2 linked regions of the Arabidopsis thaliana genome follow. The protein of the gene in region 1 interacts with the protein of each later gene in a pairwise test. Each region holds a gene or a part of one and is shown on either strand. Other genes may lie near its edges.

Region 1 (3,834 bases):
AAATTTAACCAAGGCTTGAACAAAACTTTAATCAGTTTCTTGTTGTTGTTGGGCCCAAAGCTACCTGTTTTACCAATCAAATCTGTTCTTACTTTGTCAATTGTCACAAACCTTGACTTAGTTCTTAAATCACTCACCAAAAACTCTGATTCTCAACCCAAAACAAGAAATAAACTTGTACTTAACTGCCAAAGGCTTGTTGAGCCTAACAACAAATATTGGCCCACATAACAGGCCCAAATCTTACAAAGCACCCAACCCTTTTTTTTTAGCACCCATCCCTTGAGTACTTTTTTCATTAATGTTCTTTTCCAAAAAGATATAGAGGCTGCGAGATGTGAAAGAAAAAAAGTGAGATTGCAAAAGAACACGTGCGTCTTCCAAGAATTTTCTTAGGGGTTATATAATATTCAAACATTTGATCTCTTTGATAATTGTCCAACCTTTTCTTTTTACTTTGTGCTTTTGAATGGTCAATCAAACATGGACTAACAACAGTAAATGGTGAGCTACTTTTGTTTTCCTAATTGAAATTGATTAATAATTGGTAAATGGTTTCAACTTCAAACCTCGGAAGAATAATCATCAAACACGTTTGCGCCTCTTTGTTTACCTTCTACAAGGACTTAAAGTTTGACCAAAATTCCTCAACTACATACGAATGAATATACACTGACGTCCGAAAACAAACCATGAAAAGTACTTTACTTCTCATTAAGCCAATGAAGAAGAAAAAAGTAGCAATATACTCGTCCTAAGCTTTTTTTTTTTTGCTATGAATGTTGTTATCATTATAAAAATTAAAAGAGTTTAGCTTTACTGAGTAAGGGCCTATTGTTTTGAATCTTTGGCCAAAAAAGTTGCGGAATCGTTTGCGTCTGTGGTGATCATGTTTATGATCTCTCTGTCAATTGTGTCGATATACGTCATTAGTTATATCTTGGTATTTATTCAATAAAACCATCAAAAACTGTATTTATTCATCATGGAATCGGTATTATATTAAGTTATAACCGTATCTCACCACAACGACATCAACATCTTTATTCTTTGTTTTAGAAAGCAATGGAACGAAGAACAGATTCAAACTACTTCTCTTTTTTCCACGTGTGTAAATAGTCAATAAATTAGATGGTCCAAGGATAAACTCGTATTTGTATATACAAATATCGAAAACGACTTGTAGTGTGTTTAAGAGCCAATCTAACAATTTTATATGTGTGGATTCAAACATTGAAGACTTTGATTGATCAATTCAAAGAAGTATGCATTTATTATATGCACGGATAAAATGATGACGTTCGACAAAAAAAAAAACGTAAACCTCATATGACGTTCGGATAAAAGAAAAACGTAACACGTACACGACGTCATTGGAGAGATCATTCGTCCGTTCGTAATAATCTTCCACAATCCAAAATTCTGTGTTCTACGTCGGTGCATGCATCGTTTTTTTGGTTATTCTACTTCAATGAATCGCGAAAAGCAGAGTGAGTAATTGATTCTTACGTCAGATCACCAATAAGTCTTTCCTTCCTAATTTGCAATATCTATTACAAAATCTTTATTAATGCGCAGTTTCAAAGCACTCTCAATAGCATACATTCTTGTGTAGATCTGATCCTTATCCATATATATATACATTTAATTGATTATTACTCGTGAAAACTCAGTAAACTATCTTGAGAAAATTGCCTATATCTTTTAAGAAATAAGATTAGGGGTACATAAAACATTATCTTACAAATGTAATTATGTAAAATGTTTAATCCTTACGTGTCGTCTACGACACTACCCCTCTTTAACGATTAGCAGAGGGCCGCCTCTTCGTCTTTGACTTCATAGTCTACCATAAATATGTCTATATATTTTAGACTAAACTTTATTATGTTTTCACAAAGATATCTTAACAAACTCCAATCAATTATCAAACAAAAAGAGAGGAACAAAATTCTTCTTCTTTTGGAATTCAGGTGGATCGGTCTGTCTCGTTGTTATAATCAAGATTCCACAAATAATTAGGAATATGGAGGGATATGATAATGGGTCGTTGTATGCTCCTTTTTTGTCGTTGAAATCTCATTCGAAACCAGAGCTGCATCAAGGCGAAGAAGAGAGCTCAAAGGTTAGATCAGAAGGTTGTTCGAAAAGCGTGGAGTCGTCGAAAAAGAAGGGGAAGAAACAAAGGTATGCGTTTCAAACAAGGAGCCAAGTGGATATTCTTGATGATGGTTATCGATGGAGGAAATATGGCCAAAAGGCCGTCAAGAACAACAAGTTCCCTAGGTTCTTCTTCAATTCTCCCTTCTTATTTATTCATTGCTTACAATTGCTATATATTTTATCGAACATATAAAGAAAGAGTTAAGAGTTAGACATGCATATATATGCTTTAGCCAATTCGAATCAATCTCCAATTAATGTGTATATGTATCATTCACATCGGCCCTAGATTGATCTTAACTATTCTGCAATATGTGTTTTGATTAATTTATCGTTTTCATCTTCTATAGCTAGCCGAGATACATGATCTATTTGTTTCTCTATCTAATAATTAATCAATATTTAATATAAATACACTTTTGGTCAACAAATCATAGAAATGTGCTTTTGTGAAGAAATTTGATGATTAATTACTCTTCTAAAAGACTCGATGAATATATGTATATCCTATTCACATTTTATTCTAGATTGATCTTTACTAATTGATTGGGATATGGATATGGATATTGATTTTTTTTTTTTCTAGTCTATGTAGCTAACAATCAGCGATTAAAAATGAAAGTCTTTTGGTAGACATTTTTCTTCTTATAATTTGGATTCGGGAACATATATGTGACAGTTAATTACTCTTCTAAGAGATTCAAAAACAGTTATTTGCATATAGAGAAGTGAAGTGTTTTGAAATATAACTAATGGTTTATATATATAAATGTGCAGGAGTTACTATAGGTGTACATATGGAGGATGCAATGTGAAGAAGCAAGTGCAAAGATTAACAGTGGACCAAGAAGTGGTCGTGACAACCTACGAAGGAGTGCATTCGCATCCCATCGAGAAATCCACCGAAAACTTCGAGCATATTCTCACTCAAATGCAAATCTACTCTTCTTTCTAGTTAATTCTCTCAAAATCTTTTATACCTTATTTTAGAGCCTATAATTCTTAGAGCTCATGTTGTAAATTATTTACAAAAATTAGAATGTTACATTTTACGTGTGTTGAAAAGAAAAACCATGCATGATCTGATGATCAGCTGAAGTTTGTATCCTAATAATTTTTAATAAAAATTTCAAAAATTGAGTGTAGTCTATTACTGATAGCAGCATATAATGCACATATTAAATTTCAAACAACTGTTGCTAAACATATTATTACGGTTATCTGATAAATAGTAATACTAATGGTTAGGCGTTAATAAGATATGTCATAGTCTCTAACTACCCACCGAAAGTTGTAAGAAAACTACATGAGGTATGGGAATCTGAAAGTTAGCTAGGTAAGTGACAAGAAAGTAAAAAATATCAACGGAGAAAATGACTTTACAATTCTTAAAATTAAATCAGTAACAAAATAAACCCATTTTGCTAGTTAATTCTGCTATCAGCAATGATGCTCTTGAAACAGTGACAAGAGAGTCATTGTTCTTCAGCACCGTCGCATCAGTTCTTGAGTAATCCAGTGTCTTTTTTGCATGTAACCAACCATCTTCGTGTAAATGTATGTAATTGAGCCTGAAATCTTTATTATCAATATCAAGATGCAAACCGTTTGGATTTGGATTCAAAAATTTGGATAAAAGCTTCACAATTCAACTTTCAGTTGCTAACACAA
Region 2 (3,918 bases), on another chromosome or scaffold:
CCCAAAGCTAAAACCTGTAAAGCATGGGCTTTTTAGGCAGTAGATGATTCTAAAACAATTTAAAAGCACCATTTTAGAGATATATATGGTCGAAGAGTGATTAACACTTTCACTCTCTCACCATTTTATTTTATTTTTAACGTCTTGCCTACACATTTAAAACATTAATTGGTTGATACTTTTATACTTTTTTAAGCAATTAAAATAATTTATTTAAAAATAAATGTATATAAAAAAATATTAATAGTTTATTTCTTAGATACTCAATGAGTCTCCATCCAATGAAGGTGCTCTAACAGAATCTTGAACAAGGCTACATACTATATGGTCTTGTAAATGAACATTTTCACTTTTTGGAGAGAACAGAGACAAGACAATGGACCGTGGGAGGATCCAGAGTTTCAGACCAAACATCACGTTTTTTTATCACTCGCTTCTTGTACTTCTTCAACTATCTCTGACTGTTTTACTGTTTTCTTTCACTGCTAATGCTTACACGTGCATCTGTCTCAACAATTATTTTTCAGGAAAATAAAAAATAAGAGAGATTATATATACAGTTCAAAATATAATTGCATATATATATATATATATATATATAAATTATATAAAATATACTGTTCAAATATAAAGTTTTTTTTATAGTGGTTTGGTTTCACTTTCATTGTTATCTATAATTTAGCTCACGGTGCGTACATGTAACTTACATTAAGAACAGCCAAAAAGCTCAAGCTCGTGTCCAAATTAAGATTCCGAATGGTATAGCTAGCAATATAATATATTATATGGTTTTGGATTGATAAAAACATAAAACCTAATAAAGGAATTTAATTGATATAAAAAATGAAACAATAATACAGTCTAAATATTCAATTATGAATTAAAATATTGCAATAAATCAGTTAATAGGCATTAATACTAATATGATTATACATACATGGTTAATCACTAAGAGCAACGTGAATATCAATAAACTAATTGATTTACTACGCTTGCATAATTATTTTCCTTAAAACTTTTTGATTTCGAATACTTTGTTAACACCCTGATACATGTGCATATAACATAGTAGGCTGAAATTGGACTATTCTTAGACAGTTTTCACATCTAGAATGAGATGTATAGGTTTCGTTGAGAAAAATTGTAGTTGAGATGATTAGTTATATATAACCTATGTCTGTGGGTGCTAATTTGGCAGATGGGAAAAGAATTGAAGCCTTTATATATAGTCTTCAATTATTAGTATCATCGTTAATAAAAACAGTGGTCCTTATCTCTCAACAAGTCTTTCATCAAATTCGGATAACAAAGACAAAATAGAGAATCAAAGAAAGAGACATTTGTGTTATTATCAGTAAATTATTAAAAAAATAAATAATATTAAAACACTATTATATTGGGTGTAAATTGGCTCTATGATTAGTGATTAGTTTTTTTCTTTTCCCCCATAGAACATTCAACGTTTCCCACCCATGCAAAATCCAACCTAAAAGCCAAACTTTATAAGGAAACCAACAAATAGATCCCTACAATCTAAAGATTGCAACAAAAATGCCCCAAAATTATAATCTTAGACAATCCACACCTTTTTCAATCATGTAAAACACTTCCAAACTTTTCATAGTCCATTGCTAAAAATAGTTTTAGTCTCACAAAGTTAGACCAAAATTCAATACATTCGGCGCATAATTATTTTTATACTACAATATAGTAAGTGTGATAATAACCAAACAAAAAAAGGTTAAGTGATCATTTGGTGTGGAAACAGCAAATATTGGTCTCTACTCTCTACTACAAAAACCTAGTGGGACTACAAATGAAAATAAAACACAAAAGAAAAAGAAAGTGAAAGTCTCTCTCTCTTTTCTACAAGCTGCTTCATCTTCTTCCTCTCACTCTCTCTTTCTCCAAACAAGTAAACAACAGTCAACACAAACTCATAGCCCCACCAGAAAAAAAAAATACTCCAAGAATTTATAGGTTATAAGTAAAAATTCAGTACAAGTTTGTTTGTTTGTTTATTCCATTTTCTTGTGTGTTTTTTTCCCCATAATTTATAAATTTTATAAGCAATATGGAGTCCCACAACAACAACCAGAGCAACAACAACACCACTGGTTCGGCCCATCTGGTCCCATCCATGGGACCAATCTCCGGTTCAGTCTCATTAACCACCACTGCTCCAAACTCCACTACCACCACCGTCACCGCCGCTAAAACACCCGCAAAACGACCGTCCAAGGACCGTCACATCAAAGTAGACGGACGTGGCCGGAGGATACGTATGCCGGCTATCTGCGCAGCACGTGTCTTCCAACTAACACGTGAGTTACAACACAAATCGGACGGCGAGACTATAGAGTGGCTGCTCCAACAAGCGGAGCCAGCTATCATCGCAGCCACCGGAACTGGAACCATACCGGCGAATATCTCTACTTTGAACATCTCTCTTCGAAGCAGTGGCTCTACTCTTTCAGCTCCACTGTCTAAATCTTTCCACATGGGAAGAGCGGCTCAAAACGCTGCCGTTTTTGGGTTCCAGCAACAGCTTTATCATCCTCATCATATCACGACAGATTCTTCTTCTTCTTCTCTTCCCAAAACATTCCGTGAAGAAGATCTTTTTAAAGATCCTAATTTTCTAGATCAAGAACCCGGTTCAAGATCACCTAAACCGGGATCCGAAGCTCCTGATCAAGATCCGGGTTCGACCCGGTCAAGAACACAAAATATGATACCGCCGATGTGGGCACTAGCGCCAACGCCAGCCTCCACAAACGGAGGTAGTGCTTTTTGGATGTTACCAGTCGGAGGAGGAGGAGGTCCGGCTAACGTTCAGGATCCATCACAGCACATGTGGGCGTTTAATCCGGGTCATTACCCGGGTCGAATCGGGTCGGTTCAGCTAGGGTCTATGTTAGTGGGAGGTCAACAGTTAGGGTTAGGTGTTGCAGAAAATAACAATTTGGGGCTATTTTCCGGCGGAGGAGGAGACGGTGGTCGGGTTGGTCTCGGAATGAGTCTTGAGCAAAAGCCTCAACATCAAGTGAGTGATCATGCTACTAGAGACCAAAATCCTACTATAGATGGTTCTCCTTGAAAGACTTCATGATTTCTTTGGTTTTTAAAAAGTGTGAATGTGTGATTTATTGCAACTTTTGTTGAGGACTCCAATGTTAATATGGGTTTTAGGGTTGGCTTTTCGGGATTGCCAAATTGTTATTTAAGAAAATGGATTTATTGTTTTGGTTGCATAATAATTAACGAGTTTTGCAACTCTTTTTATTCGATGCAAAAGCATGTCACTTAAAGGAAATATAGTTGAATCTCTATGTGTAACATAATGGACAAAAGAATAAATTAAATATTTATCAGAATGCCTTTTCTCTTTTGTTGAAGGGTATAATTGAATACACCTTCTTTGACCGCTCATATATTTCAAATATTTCGAATTGATTGCAGTTCGTAAAAAGCTAACGAATATAAATAAAAAATTATATGGTGTAGACTGTAGTGATAAACTTTATTGGGTGCATGAGCACCACATGTTTGGATACAAATGGGTTTTTAGATTTATATATTAATTCTCTTTTAAAATTCGTATTTTGTCTATCATACTTTTGTAGTATCTACCAAAAAATTGTCCACTTGTGGAGCAACATGGACACGTCAGAGAGAACTCCTATGCCACAGTAAATTCCAATGTGTTTGAAAAATAGGCTGGACGGGTAATCAGGCGAAATGCCGTTTTTAATGTGACTAGGGGTTAGCCCGGATATATATTTTGATAATTGATATTTTCAAGTTAGTTGATATAGTTTAAAAAAAATATTGGATTTGATTTCGGAAGTGTATATAATAGATGGTTTATTGGGATTTTTATATATTTACTATTTTTAATATATTTAAAATATATTA

What was found.
Region 2: the proteins of WRKY75 (region 1) and AT1G35560 interact in binary tests that used the Arabidopsis thaliana proteins (3 or more experiments, as listed by UniProt).

The regions. Positions count from the first base shown.
Region 1 is NC_003076.8:4,149,212-4,153,045, reverse strand, and holds WRKY75 (WRKY DNA-binding protein 75), read left to right. Parts: upstream 1-1,844; 5' UTR 1,845-2,026; coding exon 2,027-2,286; intron 2,287-2,940; coding exon 2,941-3,118; 3' UTR 3,119-3,308; downstream 3,309-3,834. UniProt on the Arabidopsis thaliana protein: Transcription factor. Interacts specifically with the W box (5'-(T)TGAC[CT]-3'), a frequently occurring elicitor-responsive cis-acting element.
Region 2 is NC_003070.9:13,115,281-13,119,198, reverse strand, and holds AT1G35560 (TCP family transcription factor), read left to right. Parts: upstream 1-1,963; 5' UTR 1,964-2,074; coding exon 2,075-3,100; 3' UTR 3,101-3,373; downstream 3,374-3,918.